Arabidopsis thaliana: one gene and its partner. The protein of the gene in region 1 interacts with the protein of each later gene in a pairwise test. Each region holds a gene or a part of one and is shown on either strand. Other genes may lie near its edges.

Region 1 (7,750 bases):
TACTATGTTTAAAACCGATTCAGGGGATGAAAAATACAAAATAAGCATTCGGTGAAAGAACATTAAAAAGATTCGTTTATGAGTTTTAGCTCAAACATGGCCACGAGCCTACTAAGCCAAACTTTCCAAATATAGAAAGTATCCATGGATTTGATATAATCTATCAAAAAAAAATATCGGAAGGTGGAGTTCACGCGCTTAAATCCAGCTTATAGGGACGGGACACATTACGCTTACGAGAACGGCCCAATACAAAGGCTCATTATTTAGGCCCATTATTAAAATGTAAACACAATGAACAACAGCCCAATAAGATCCATGACAAAGACACCCACAAAGATTTAGATTTCAATTAGTAAAGTTAGCGATCGTAGCGCCGGGCTGAGTCGCCTGAGCTTCAGCCGCCGGTTTCACTTCCTTCGACGGCTCAACATGTTTTCCGGTAAGCTCCACAGGTAAATCAGCAGCAACACCTTTCAAGTAGAAAGTGTAAAACAGCTTCGTAGGATACACAAGCTGACGAAGCTTGACCTGTCCATAAGCTCCTTCAAACACGCCGGAGCCACCGGTGATAGCAAGAAACGTGTCCTCGTAAGTGAGATAAGGTCCTTGAACTGATATGTGACCATAATCTCCGAAGTAGAAACTGTAAGAAGCTTCAAAGCGATCACCTTTCTTCTCTGGAACATGTTGGATCAAAACGCAGAGACCTGCGGTGATTCCTATGCGTTTTGTGAGATCTCCTGTGTAGAGTTTGTTTGTGAAGGGGACAAGATCTCCGAGACAAAGCTGATCTGGTTTTTTCCCTAGTTTTAAAACCGCTGGACTGTTTCGATCACCTTCGTTGAACTCGTAGACGTTAAGCTCTTGGATCTTAGCTGAGATTTTTCACAAAATAAAAATCAGTTTTTGTGAAATGGGTACTTGATTTTGAGCTTAAAGGTTGATTCTTTTTTTGTTCTTATACCTAATTTGATGCTAATTTTCTCAAATCATGAAATGGGTACTTAGTTGTGAGCATAAAGGTTAACTTTTTACTTACTTGGTCTGGAGTAGTCATTGCTACTGCTGCTGCAAATGGTTCTGAAGAAACCTCCAGTGGAGGAAGTGGTGGATCTTGCTCGTGTGGAGAGACCTGGACTGTTAGATGAGATCCTTTGGTTATGGAAGGATCTAGAGAAACCGAGAAAAGTGCTTTGGTGAGATTGATGATTGCGAGAGAGGTTCCTTAGAGTTATCATAGAGATCGATGCAGCAGCAGAAGAAGCCATGATCATAGACTTGCCTGAGTTAGTTTAATTGTAATAAACACTTACTCAAAGAGAAACTGATTTTTGCGTTATTAGTTGAACTGTTGAAGTGTTGTGAAGAGACTAGATCTACGTTTTAATGGATACTTTATGTACTATGCATTTTTATCGTGATGATGAATGATGAGGAGCCATGTGCGTAAATATGGGAAAGTGGGTCTCTAGCTTCATCTAAAATAACTAAGAATTAAACACAAAAAGACAGGGAAACAAAAAAAGTCGCAAATAATTGTTGTGAAATGGGAATTTGTGGAATAAAGAAAGACTTGAGGGAACATGTGGGAAAATTTCTAATAGCAAACTAATCTTGAGATCTTAAAAGATGGCACTAACACAAATTGTTAGACTATGGTCTCAAAGATAATGAATTTATACTATGGACCTTAAATGATCAGCAAATAAAAGGTGAAATGGAAATGATCAATGTGAATAGTTTTAGCATTTGGTAAGAATCTCTGAACCAGTTCTAGTAATCAGAATGGTATGCTCAAACTGAGCAGCGACGCCACCATCTGCTGTCAGAGTAGTCCAGTTGTCTGGCCATGTTACACATTCTGTGGTTCCAATCGTGAGAATCGGTTCTGCAACATAATGTATTCATCGGTTTTTTATTATATAGTAATCACCTAATCATAAGCAAATGAAAGCCATGACATGGAAGGGGAAAAAATGGCTAACCAATTGTGAATGTCTGTCCCTCAACCATTAGTCCAGGCTCATCATTTCCTGCAAATTGGATTAAAATTCCTCAACCGTAAGTCCAGGTTCATATGCATATGCAGCCAACTATTGTTTTTGATTGATGTTTCCTAACATAAGAACGATTTTGCTAAGGAAGAGATTACTTACGGTAATGATATATAAGAGGTTCGGAGTGGAATACTGGTCCAACACCATGCCCAACAAACCGCTCCACAACGTTGTAGCCGAACTTTTCCGCATGCTCACTGTTGGAAATTGAAAGCATTGAGATTGTTTGTTCTAGCAGTGTCCTCAAATAGTACATTTCTACACGGTTATATTGAAATCAAGAATAGTTTTGGTTGCAACCTGATTCTTTTCCCGATTTTCTTGAAGCTTGCTCCGTCTTTACAAACTGCAATACCTCTCTCCAAACATTCTTCCGTAACCTTACAGAACAAGAAACCGACAACAGTTAGCATATTAAAACAGAATTCATTTTTTTGTGAACTTGAAGACAAAACACAGTGAAGAGAAGAAGAAGAAGAAGAAGAAGAAGAAGAAGAAGAAGAAGAAGAAGAAGAAGAAGAAGAAGAAGAAGAAGAATACTACCTTCACAAGTCGTTTGAAACCTTCGTCAACTTCTCCACAGAAGAAAGTTCTCGACGTATCTCCATGGTAACCCTGTCGATGTTTCAAGTTGTATGTAGAAATCAAACAAAGTGAAAGTGTCTGCAAATTAACAAAAGAAGCGCAAATGACTTACATCCAAGTAAACCGTGACATCGATGTTGATTATATCCCCGCTCTGCATTAAGACTTAATAGTTAGTGATAAACAAATGAACTCCTTCAAAGCTATTCAGCTTAAAGCAGTAAAAAGCACACATGAGGACCTGTAGCTGGCGAGAATCTGGTATTCCGTGACACATACACTCATTAACTGAAGTACACACACTTTTAGGAAATCCACCATATCCAAGAGGTGAAGGATAAGCACCAGCTTCAATAATCATATCATGCACAGCTTTATCGATTTCATTAGTCGTAACAGATGGCTGCAGAACCATATAAACAACAACTCAGACCACATATCCATAACATAGGAAAACAAAAGATCCACAAGGAAACTAAAATCTTACCTTAACCAAAGTTCCAGCATAGTTTAAAACCCGAGCAGCAAGCTCGCAAGCAGCTCTCATTTTCGCAATGCCTTCAGGACCAGGAATCTGGAACTCACTTGATATATCCGGTAATACACCAGACTCAACATAAGGAGGCCTTGGAATGTGATCAGGTACAAGAAGACGAGGCGATACTCTTCCACGTCTTAATGGTGGATTTCTCCTAACTTTTGATTTAGTTTCAAGCTCTCTCATTCTATAAAATGTAAACCAAATTAATGTACTATTAGCTCTATGACCAAAAGATGAATTCTTTTTTCAAGATTGCATTTTTATGATACAAGAGAGTTAAACAAAGTTAATTACTTTCTGATTCTAATGGCTTCCTCTAACCCAGAAACTTTCTTGGCAGAAACATGGAACTGTCTCGGAGAATATGAGTTCTTCTTACCTACAGATATGAGAGAAGATAAACTTCATACACCAAAGTTCTTCAATTATACAACATTCAAAATCGGAACAACGGAGAAAGTTTCAAAATTTCCAATCAGATGACCAATAATTTCGATATCTTCCAATGAAAAACGAAGCAATAATTGAATAACGAACAGAGCAAACGAAGAAACAGTGACAAGTAAAAATGACAAACCGGAGAGTGATAAAGAAGAGGAAGTGACCGGAGCTCCGAGAAAGCATCTCGACGGAGCTAAGTACTCGCCGTGAAAGGAAGAGCAGAGTTGCAAAGAAGACGATGACGAGAAACTGGATAGAAAAACCGAAGACGCCATTTTCGCAAACTTCACTGCTAAAACCCAAAATATCAAAATTTGCAGTGAAGAGAAAAAAAAAATGGTTCTTGATATTTTAATTAACAAACTAATGGACTTTAAAGCCCATTGGGCTTGTATATGATCGATCAAGTATAGGCTACTTTAGGCCATATGGGGTTTATGAAGATATGATTTGCTTGAAGTTTTGAATTATGACAAGATTATCTAAAAGATATTTGACGACATTTTTATGGTTCTTGTAACTAAAAGAAATTATAGCTATTAAATTAGTAACTTTATGATTAACTTGTGTTTTTCTAAATTATGATCGTGCTTTTTCAAAATTTTCCTATCTTATAGAATTTGTTAGATTGAGAATTAGTCGTTGATAAATGTATATCTAAATGGATCCACAAAAATCAAACAACAATAACGATTATGATGGTGGATTTTTTCTAGTACATTTATTTATTTTCTTTCTTTCTAGTCTTTGGTATCAACAAGTCTAATAATTTTCACTAAAGCTACTGCTGTGTTACTATTTGAACACAACTTGAATTATGTGTGGATGTGTGTTATAGACAAAAGTATACGTAAAATTGCGTGGGCATTTTTAATTGTATAATAGGATTTTATGCTATAATGGAATAATGTTATAGTCCACCGAATTGTATCGAAAGAAAGTGCATATGAACGGAACATTCATTAGATCAATGGTCAATATATTCCTTTATGTAGGTACATAGTAATGTATGCGGCAGGTGTACTATTATCATCATATGTTCAAACTCTAACGCATATACTATATACCATTTCGTAAGAGATTAACAGAGTTTTAATGTTATTCGTTTTAACCATCAAATTCCTTCGAAATAAATAGCTATATATACCTAAGTTTGTAGAGAATCTGAAGATACTCATAGTCGCAGCCAGCGAAAGAAAGAAAACTAAAACACTTTTAGAAACAAATATCTAGATTGAGTTAAGCCGAAAAAGTAGTAGATAGAATTATAAATACATATATATTATTTAACAGCAACATGAATCTCTCTACCAACACAATAATTTCTGAAGCTTAAAATAATATCTTGCAAAAGCTTAAATAGCATTCATTTTAAAATATCTTTCTCTTTGGTTATTTGTATCGGAGTATGGTCTATCATATCATCATACGATTATATACGTTTACAGACCCTGCAAACTTTTTCTCTTTTGGTTGGAGTTATTTTATAAAATTACGTACGCATAAGTCATAACTCCTCAAATCTATATACAAAAAGCAGCAAATACCATAAGCAGTAGCTAATGCATACATATAAATACGAGTTCCCATACACATAAAATGAAAAGAAACCAAGGTAAGATTTGGTAACAACATTTTCATCATCTCATGCTAATAAAACTCTTGAGACATATCTAAGTAACCCTTTTTAAAATTTATCCTATAAATAAAATTTACAGTTCATCAATACAACAAAAACAACTCATGAACCTTTGGTAAACAAGAAGAAAGAAACCGATGCAAATAAAGAAAACGAAAATGGAGTTTTTAAAAATTATTAAAACAACAAAAGAAAAAAAAAAGAAGAAGAGTTGTTACGAGGCGTGAAAGATGCGTTGCTTCTTGCTACACACCAACGATAACATCTCAGTATCGTTCACTCTTTTGTTTCCTACGACGTCGTTTCTTGAACTCTCCGGTGAAATGTTAACTCCGAACAATCTCAAAACCCGACCCGCATCTAAATCTGACCCGGATCTCGACTTCCACCCAATGTACAACTGTTGATCCTGACCGTTAGATCTACTGAAACTAACCACGTCACCAGCACGTAGATTCTTCTCCTTAACGAACCTGCTCCAACCTTTAGTCAAAACATAACTCTGACTACTGTTCCAATACGAGTAACGGAACCTCCACACTTTCCCGTTAACGTCCTCAAAGTTCAACAACACTCCTTTCACGGAAACGTTACTTGACGGTAACGGAAAATGTTTCTCTGCGTGATGTTTCGGTATAACCAAACGGTTTAGCTTCCCAACGTCGCTTGGCGTTACCGCTTTCTCAAACAGTGCCTCCGCCGATCTAAACCCCGTCGTAGAAACACCATCATTACTCAACCCCGACGTTAACAACGTCCTAGTCATGTTTCCGTTACCATTACGACGCCGTTTACTCTGCTCTAACTCTTCGTTATAAGTATGTTTCCTCAACATATCAACGATCTCAGATTTCGAATGAGAATTCAAGAAATCGACCTCGTCTTCGTCCATCTTCACGTCTTTGAAATTTGTGACGGCGTCACGGCGACGGAACCTGTGAACCGCGACGTCGTAGGCACGAGCGGCTTCGTCTTCTTCGTTGAATGTCCCGAGCCACACGCGCTGGTGTTTCTCGTAAATCTGAGCTCCCCATCTTCCGTTTGGTTGTGGCACCACACCTTTGTATTTTGACGACGGAAGCTTCCTAGATTCAGCTTCTACGCCGTTCTCTGAATCTAACACAACGCTTGATCCGCTTCCCATCCTGTATAAGTTACCTACCGACGACTTTTTCGCCGGAGTTATCGCCGGGGTTTCACAGATGGAACCTGTACTTGTAGTACTCTCATCAACGCTACTCGATTCCATTTAATCTGTGTTTTTTTTTATGGTTTGAAACAATGGAGAAAACAGAAATGTGTTTGTGTTGTGTTGTGAATTATGTTGTGTATATGTATACGTGTGTGTGTATAATATATATAGAAAGAAGGAGAAAGAGCTTGGGGGGAGGGAAATAAGAAACAGCAAGTGTCACTTCTGATATTATTATTTTATGTTTCACTTTTTATTTGGTAATAACAAAAAATATATTTGTAAGAATGCGTGTTTGAGGGGAGTAATTATAGTATATGTGCAGGTGCATGGGAAGTAAGATGGGTGTGTATGGGTCAACTCAAAGAACACAAAGGAAGCTTCGTGGAAACATAATGAAATATACGGCATTTAATTTAGGTTACTATATTAGGGTCTATTTCATGAACTGTTGATGTAACTTATAGAAGAAAACACACGAAGCAATAATAATCCTTATAATAAGTTAGTATTTTATTTATGTAAGAAAAAGAGAAAAGAGAGTATAGGAACAAATATAGAAATGAATATGTTGTGGGCTGTGTGCATGGGGAAGTGGGACCCATGTGTGGGCCATGGAATGGATAAAGGGTCCACGTGAGATATTGACATCATTTTAGTGAAGTTCATCCCCCCTGAGTTTTGATGCTTAAAATTTTAATTCACTATAATACTATAGTAACGATAATAACTATATGAAAAATAATAAAATAGAAAGTATTAGATTTGATAACCATGTTCAGATCCTACCGATGTTAAATGGTGTCTCTCTTTAAATTTTTTTCTCTTCCAAATCTGATTGTTATTCTTCACTCTTGAATGATATTATTATTGAAAAAGCTATAAATAGTTGTTTAGTCATGAACTCATGATATATATCTTCTTTATTTTCCATTTCCAGGTTTTTATTCTTCTTTCTATAATCTTATCCTACGTTTCTTTTTATAGAAAAAATGTGTATTGCTATGAGGATTATTGTCCGTATAATATATGCACTCGATAGATTCCAATTCCAAATTCATAAAAAATCTCTCTTTTGTTGTTCTTGTAATTATCCCATTTTATTATATATATATATATATATTTGGTATCAACATTTTATTATATTTGTTTCTCATAAGTGGGTGTATGTAATGTAAAAAGATTTTAAATATGTCTTATATATTTATAAGAAATACTTAGCCAACGAGCGACCGACATCATAACAAGTATTTCTACTGGTCAATAGAAATCCAATTAAATCAGTTGCCTTC
Region 2 (8,490 bases), on another chromosome or scaffold:
ATCACAAATTTTCCACCTATAGGCAAGCAAGTTTGTAATAAACTTCTAACTGATTGATAAATTTACCAGTGATTGAGTGGACTGTAGTCATAAGACCCTCAACAATTCCAAATCTGTCATTGATAACCTACACAATGAAATCAAAGAACGTTAAATGAAATTAGTCACTTCAACTTGAAATACAAAGTCAAATTTGATCATATAGAATATCAGATATTTTACCTTGGCAAGGGGAGCAAGGCAGTTAGTGGTGCAGCTAGCGTTGGAGACAATGTCAAGGTCGGACTTGTATTCGTGCTCGTTGACACCAACAACAAACATTGGAGCGTCTTTGCTGGGGGCAGAGATAACAACCTTCTTGGCACCACCCTGAAAATACAACAAGTCACAAATTTAGTTGAATGATACTAAGCAAATTCTAGCACATAAACTATTTATATCATTACAAGACAAAAATAACCAATTCAAATAAGACAAACCTTCAAGTGAGCTGCAGCCTTGTCTTTGTCAGTGAAGACACCAGTAGACTCAACAACGTAGTCAGCTCCAGCCTCGGCCCATGGGATATCCTCAGGGTTCCTTCACAAATACCAAAAACTAATGAGATTGAAATTCACAACAGTTTGTAATATGTATACACGCAAAGAGACAGAGAACTGGTTGATAAATGTACCTGATGCCGAAAACAGTGACTGGCTTCTCACCGAAGAGAAGGGTCTTCTCATCCTTGATCTTGAGTTCATTGTGTTTCCATTGACCGTGAACACTGTCGTACTTGAACATGTAGGTCTGCAGCAATCAAACACAGAGCGCAATCAAAATCAACTCAACCATATCAACTCTAATCACAAACAGGCTAATCAATAACATTACAAACACAGCAAAACAAACAACAGCTCCACAAGTATACTGATCAGCTAAACAGTATGAACAATGAACACTAAACCAGTTTCCAGATCTGTGCACTAATTGAACAAATCATCTGACACTTAAATCCACATGCATAATCCATAAATGATATGATCCATCTATCAAATCTAACGAAAGCAAAGGTACCAGAGCGACTAACAGAATCTTATCGTCAAGAGATCAAAATAATATTGAAGCAAACCAAGATCGAATCACCGTCAAAACCAAGGAAGGAACACTAACCATGTACTCAGTAGTGATGAAGGGGTCGTTGACAGCGACGAGCTCAACATCGTCCCTCTGGAGAACAACTCTAGCAACCAAACGACCAATTCTTCCGAATCCTAACGATAACAGAAATCAACAGTCAGATTCTAGATCTAGATACATGAGAACATACAAACCCGAATTACAAAATCGATTCGAAACTCACCGTTGATTCCGATCCTAATCTTCTTGTCAGCTACATAAAACAACAAACAAAATCAGAAAAACGATCAGATCAGAAAACTCAACAACGTAAAATAGCAGCGACGGGACGAGAGATTAGTAAAAGCGAGAGACTAACCCATTGTAGAATCGAAAACGAGAGTTAGAGAGAGGTTGAAGATGAGATTGGCAGAGAGAGATTTTAGAGTGAGATAGGTGAGTGAGAAGGGTTCCGTGAAGAGGTTATTTAAAAGAGAGAAGAACGTGGAGGAGGGGTCGGAATGATCTAGTGGCTGAGAGTTTTTCTTGGCCAAAAAGTCAGATCTGATTCAATACTTTTCTTAACCTAAAAGACCAAATTGCCCTTAATCATTTTCCTTATTTACCGTTGTAGCTCTGTTATTTTGGCAAATGTCGTCATTCCTGAGGCGAGACATGGCAACTGCATCTCACGCGCTAATCTGGAATATTCTTTAAATATTTAAGACGGGTCGGGTAAGCATGAAACGCAGCGTATTTGGATATGCTTTTATGCGCCGACCAGTGTTTGACTGCCACGAGTTCACGAGCGGCCCATTTTAGTAGACGGGTTCCATTTTCTAGAACGTAACGCCCAAATAAAATTATATTTTAGAAAAGTATATATTTCAAGTTTTCAACTCTTTAGGAGACTTTCTTTAAAAGAAGATATTTGATAGGCGTATATGGACAAGAATTTGAAAATTTTGATTTGATAAGCAATATTCAAAAAAGCAAAAGTCCCTATCAAAAACTCGATTAGTTGATGTATTTAATTCAAAAAATACTTCGTGATGGGTGAATCACTTTAGTATTTACGTGAATTAAATTATTACATGTGAATTTAAACGGGAAAAAAAAACAAGTATTACATGTGAAATTTGTTTCGAAGTGTACTTTGTTGTTACTTATGAGTCCTGTCCCGTCAATTGCTATAGTAGAGCTTATGAACGATGGATCACTTTTTACTTATAGAAGCTTTGAAGTTTGGTGCATAGTCGTGATACCTCTTGACGCGTATGAAAGAGATGTAGGGCTAGTACGAGAACATGAGCAGCTCCCGCAATGATGAACAAACCGCGCAACTCACGGAAGGTGAATCGCTTAGATGCCTCATCATCGTCGTTGGTAGATGCAACTTCCTCGGTGTTGGAATGTACATTTAGTGAATCCAGTTTTTGAAACCATTTTTTCTCCATGTCTTTCAACATTCCCAATGATCTTAGCTTCGCGATTTCTCGCGATACTTTAGGAACCAAATCCGAACCTTTCTGGAACATCTGAGAGGTAAACATAAATTAGTACGTAACAAGAATAAGTAACCAAATAATGGAGAGAAAATGAGAGGTTTGAGGAGAAGGGTACATACAAAGCCAAAGCCATTGGTATTAGTCACTCTATCTGTCATTACGAAATCATTCGGATAATTTCCGATAAGGATACTGAGATAAGGTATTTCATTGATGACATGATTAAGAGTTCCATCTCGCAAAAGTTGTGCATAGGCCTCAACTGCATTAATGGATCCGAGCTTCGCAGTCATTGACGTCGTAGATCCCCCGAAAACCATCTGATGATTTAATTGCATGCGAGAAATGGTCTTGGTTGATGTCAAGTTTGCGCTGTAACTTGAAGTCAATATTAACACCACAAAAACCCAAACTATGACTAAGAATCTTGATGACATTTTCTGTAGCTTCTCTCCTGCCAAGAATGTGCGTAATTTGTTATAGATCAAAATATACAAAAGGATGGGATTTCATGAAGAGTAGTACTCTAACATAAACACTTACTGTGAGCAAATACAATGGTTGAGAAACCAAACCAGAGCATCATACTAAGTTGTTGTCCCCAAGAGCCCTGAAATTCCGGATTAACGGACCGTTCAACTAACCAAACAACAATCCCAGTTAAGACAAAGAAAGCTCCACTTGCTAGCCACAAGGATTTTTCGAAAGGATCAAAGAAGGTCCACATCCCTTGGCTTTTCTTTTTCACTGTCAAGATTCCAATACCAATGTCAGTGTACGGCAAAGTAAAATCAACATACAAAGATCTGTTGGAAGTGATGGTGATATCACCAACTGCTGCATCATACTTGTCTCTCTGTCAAAATTGCAAACACACATTATTAGAAACATACATAATCATTTTTGACTAGAAAAATGTTTTTAAACTGTTTGCATTTTCACACCTGAGTAGAAAGTAGATAAGCAAGATTGTCATTGTTTCCACGGTAAGGTATGAATTCAAGCTCGTAGTTAAAAGGAGCAATGCAAGTCTTGAAAACCTCTACGCAGAATCCAGAGACAGTATTAACACCTGTTTCAGGATCAGGACGCACCGACACTAGATGCGGGACCTTGTTTCCTGCGGTAACTAAGACCCTAAGCACCTTCTTTTCACCTTTCTCTGCCAAAACACGGTGTCTTGGGATCTTACGAGACCTGCCAGGCCAAACAATCTGTCTTCTTTGGCTAAAACTACCACCACTCCATAATCCTATCCTTCTCTGTTTTTCTCTTCCAATATTCACGATTTCAAATGTCTCTGAGATAAATTTGTTGTCAGAGATTTGGATGTCACCACTCAAACCCTTGAATCTACTATGTCTAATTGTATCCAGAAGATCAGCTGATACATTCGAAGATGCTTCAACTTTACCACTTACACTGAACTTCTCTACTGCATTTGCTAGAATACAAGCGATATCGTGTGCGCGTAAACCGATGATTACACTAGAATGCTCTGTTTCTGTATCATCTCCCATACGTTTCCTCAATCTTGAAGTAAAATTCTTAACTTCTTCAGATACAGGGATGTAAGATTTGAAACCAATGACCCCTTGCATCGACCTAGTTATTGCAAAATGTTCCAAGTAGTTCATGGTTCTTGCAGTGAGGATCCAAGCGAACGCTTCTTCCATCAAACCTAACTTCTCTACACATTGGAAGAGACGAGAAACAAGAATCTCGGACATATGCACCACAAAAACCGATGCTCTTGAGACCTTAAGCTTCCTTAGCTGATTCATCATATGATTTTCTCCTGATGATGAGACTGCAAAAGAAGCAGAACGAGCGATATAGATTCCTTTATCTTGAAAATTCTCAACCAATATTTGCAAACTCTCACTCCAATCATCAGCATCCTCGTATATAACCACAACCGATTTACAACTGAAATCTTGTATGAGACTTGTAATTCCCTTAGCCTCTGATGTAGTATCATGCGTCCATTGAATAAAGTTATCGTATTTCTTCAAAGATAACGTGTTTGGCAAGAAAGTAGATATGACCGGAACTTTAGCTTTTTCGCTAATCGTCGCCAAAAGCTTTGCCTCTTGTAATGATTGTGCACCAACAATGGCTTCCGCTTTTGCATTTTTGAGAAGATCAGTAGCTGTTTCATACAAACACAAATTGCAGTGCAAAACGGTTAGTGCAAGACATGAGAATGTTAACCGGAGTAAACCGGCGGGACTAGGTCAATTCTTTTTTATTTGATTCAGTCTGCTTTAAATGAAGAGGAGTTGTGGATCCCACCAAAAATTGCAATAATTGAATAAGGGAGATGAAAACTCACCGGCGGCAAGAGCAATGATCGGGTCTCCTTGGGAGTCTCTGACCAAAACAGAGACTCTGGTTCGGTATCCATTGTTGATGCCATAGAAATCTGAAAGCGCTAAGTTAAAAGAAGTTTCCAGAATCTTGCCTTGTATAGAACTCAAGTCAACCACCAATCCAACCCTAACCTCTTCGAAAACATCATCGTCGCTTGGAGCAGCTACTACTCCGGAAAAGAGAAGAGCAAGAATGGAAATAGAAAACAGAATCTCCATATAATTTCTTGTATAGCTCTGTAACGTTCGCTTTGGGTTATAAACAATGGTGTTTCCATATCTACTTGTGCCATGGAATAATAATTATACTGGACCATTTTTTTTTTCCGGTCAAATTGCATTTTGATTTTCTGAAGTGTATGGTCACAATCATTTTAAATCAAACTAACGCGATATCGCACACAATCAAAGTCAATGTGTACTGTTCATCGACACAAATTGACTAGGAAACACATTTATTTCCTTCTAAAGTATAGTTGAGCCTTAAAAAAAGTTTTATTTAATTTATGTTTTCAACAGTTACTTTTAAAACTGATTTCAAAATCCAGGTTAAATACAATGTAAAATACATATGCAGGGGAAACCATAATACTAGATATATTAGCTTATTTCGCAAAGTCAATTCGTAGAAGTAAATATTCGAGTTCAAGTGATAGGACAACCAAGTGATATATAATAAAATCTACCACAACCCGAGAAGCTAAAAAAAATCACAAGCTGGTTAGTTCAACTCGTCGAGGAAAAATCAAATCAAGAGATTAAAACTCTAGTCTAGGATGATCCCACAGTCATCTCCTTCTACAATCATTAAATTATTACTCTATCGAAACCACACGCTCGCGAATACTTATAGAGTACATGTGGAATGAGATAACGTTACCAGGGAGATTAGGAGACTTGGCTTATAGAATACTTATGGAATACATCTCCCTCGCGACTTACCTGCGCAATGAAAACTTTTTCTCGTCTTGTTCAATAGTTGTACTTCGCACAAAGGATAATACGATCATAAAAAGACTCATAATACGATCTTCGATATACCCGCGCAACGATGGATCACATAAACGGTCGCATGGTTGGAAAATTTAGGGCTCATCTCTGATTGTTTTATTTTCTTCACAAAGGGGCAAAAATATATATATACACTGTATATATATATGGGGTTTTTTTTATGGTCAAATGTTATTGCCCTTCGAATAAGAGACCTTTGATTCGTAAGAAGAGATTATTATTTTATAAGAGAAGGTTATGACCGAAAGGTTTCTGAAGAAAATGAAAAATTACTTTTAAAAGGAATTTTATCTTTAAAAGGAAACAAAAGGAATGGTTAAGTTTTACATGATTGGACGCAAAAATGGAAAATTCTTTTGATTACTTCAAAAAAGGAAACCCTCATTTCTTATTAATAATACATCAAATAAAAAACTAACATGATTTTTCGCAAAATATCCAATTTGTGAAGACCCTAACGCTCGAATTTGTCATCACTTGGCTCAGTCTTTCAACTTTTGAAAACTGAAACTCCTTTTTTCTCAATACTGTTAGATAATAGAGATATACTCGAGACGATTGAGCTTCGTCAAATGGATACATGCAGTATTAAAATCAGCAGTTCAAATACAAAGAAATTTAAATCATCAAGTATGAATATGTATGATCATGCTTCACGATCGAACAGACGAACACCACCAGAAACTCGACGTCCCACACGAACAGAAGATGAACCACCACAGTCTTTTCCCAATCGTAAGTGAGCCATATTGTCGCATAAGTTATCACGTAACTCGAGCATCGCTTGGTACCTTTGCTGCAGCTCCTTCGCGCTCAAACCTTCCGAAGGAAAGTTCCACCACATTTTATCTAACTTCTTTTCATTTCTCGATTCCTTCAACAGTTTCAACTTCTCTAGATCCATCGCAAGCTCCTCTTCGAGCGCCTCCATTTTTTTTACGAGGTCGTGGAGCCTTCGTTTCTTATAAGCTTCGACGAGGGGTCTGGTATCGTCTCTCTCTAATGGTTCTTGTCTCGAAGGGTTCTTTAACCGGTCAGCCACTTTCTTCATAGACGGATGTGCGAATGTATAGGGCTTCTTGGGTTGAGAGAAAATCAAGAAAGCCACTTCAACGTCACACATTGCTACGAGCTCGTTCATTTTCTTAAAAATTCCGGTTTTACGTTTTGAGAACGTAATCATCCTATCTCCATAGTTCTCCACCTTCTTCATCTCGATCTTTTGCTTCCCCTTTGTTTTTCTTCCCTTTGCTTGCTTCGTAGATGACATGTTTGCAGAAACCAGAACTAGTGTTTGATTTCTTGTAGGTTTGTTATTTTGTATGTAATGATAAAACCATGCGCAAAACACAATCTATTTATAGACCAAAGAAAGAGATAGGATTACAAAGTTTGGAGACATTAAATTTAAATCTTAGTTATGAAGAAAGTGTATTGACTAATTTACAAAAAAAAAAAAAAAATGTTGACTAAACACATTTGGCAACCACTTTAACATCTTCATTAATCAGTCAAGAAACTATTATGGTAACCCAATTGGTGTAATAGCTGGTGTAAAGGCTAATTGACCATTCAAGGAGGAATGTTCTTTTAGGTAATTACGAGTTTGTGTATCCCTTACAGGGAACATACCTCAGATCCAAAATTCTTTTGTTACAAAAAAAATAGGAAAAATTTGATATAAAAGATATCTACTACAAAATTTGTCCATAATATTCTTATTTTTTTGTAGATTAGTCATATAATTTTTTTAAAAAACTTCAAAATCCAAATTTATCTTATTTTTCTATCAAATTTCATTTAAAAAATAAAACTTTTTTGTATTAGTATAAGTCCGTTCATTTGATTAGTCATAACTTTTGCTATAATATTTTGTTTGACTTGAAATCACTATCGTTGGAAAGCTAATTGAAACTAATAGAATTGCTATAATATTCCGTTTGACTTGAAATTACTACCGTTGGAAAGCTAGTTAAAGCTAATAGAATTGAAGTCAATATATAAACATAAAAAAAAAATTTAAAAATTTAATTTTAGGTTAAAATAACTTTAATCTATTTTCTCTAAAATAACAATAACTTAAGGGATGCAATTTATACTTATAAATTTCCAAATTTATATAACATGAAACACATGAAAAATATTTCCTCTCATAGGCTACAGCTAGCTAATATAAAATAAAATCCACGCTTTTTATATGCTTAATTTAAACTCTAATTATTAACTCTAATAAAACCTAGTTTAAGTCCACGTATAATTTCAACTGATATTCAATAACTAATAATTTATATATTTGTTGCAATCTCTGTAAGACTATCGGTTAGGTTAATCATTCAAAGATATCTTCGTTTCATAAAACAAGAAAAAAACAAAAAAAAACAAATTTTCAAAAAGAAAAAAATCTATTTGAGGAGAAAAATAGCTGTGAGAGAGAAAGCTAAAGAGGCGACGTACCACCCACCTAACCACAACCAGATCCCCAAAAGACAGAGAACTTTCTC

What was found. The genes of interacting proteins can lie anywhere in the genome.
Region 2: the proteins of MAP1C (region 1) and GLR1.1 interact in a protein complementation assay, tested with the Arabidopsis thaliana proteins (one large-scale study listed by BioGRID).

What each region holds. Positions count from the first base shown.
Region 1 is NC_003070.9:4,541,151-4,548,900, reverse strand, and holds MAP1C (methionine aminopeptidase 1B), read right to left. Parts: upstream 4,013-7,750; 5' UTR 3,903-4,012; coding exon 3,764-3,902; intron 3,566-3,763; coding exon 3,481-3,565; intron 3,371-3,480; coding exon 3,133-3,370; intron 3,049-3,132; coding exon 2,887-3,048; intron 2,800-2,886; coding exon 2,758-2,799; intron 2,676-2,757; coding exon 2,604-2,675; intron 2,441-2,603; coding exon 2,361-2,440; coding exon of another isoform or gene 2,327-2,360; exon of another isoform or gene 2,258-2,326; coding exon 2,160-2,257; intron 2,037-2,159; coding exon 1,989-2,036; intron 1,892-1,988; coding exon 1,746-1,891; 3' UTR 1,528-1,745; downstream 1-1,527. Other genes in the region: AOC4 (allene oxide cyclase 4), read right to left, coding at 349-878, 1,043-1,277; RAV1 (uncharacterized protein), read right to left, coding at 5,481-6,515. UniProt on the Arabidopsis thaliana protein: Removes the N-terminal methionine from nascent proteins. The N-terminal methionine is often cleaved when the second residue in the primary sequence is small and uncharged (Met-Ala-, Cys, Gly, Pro, Ser, Thr, or Val).
Region 2 is NC_003074.8:1,074,068-1,082,557, reverse strand, and holds GLR1.1 (glutamate receptor 1.1), read right to left. Parts: upstream 5,323-8,490; 5' UTR 5,198-5,322; coding exon 4,942-5,197; intron 4,759-4,941; coding exon 3,551-4,758; intron 3,463-3,550; coding exon 3,150-3,462; intron 3,061-3,149; coding exon 2,726-3,060; coding exon of another isoform or gene 2,637-2,725; coding exon 2,322-2,636; 3' UTR 2,054-2,321; downstream 1-2,053. Other genes in the region: GAPC1 (glyceraldehyde-3-phosphate dehydrogenase C subunit 1), read right to left, coding at 67-127, 223-369, 480-579, 674-789, 1,153-1,253, 1,343-1,372, 1,478-1,481; AGL57 (AGAMOUS-like 57), read right to left, coding at 6,636-7,259. UniProt on the Arabidopsis thaliana protein: Glutamate-gated receptor that probably acts as a non-selective cation channel. Can transport sodium, potassium, and calcium ions.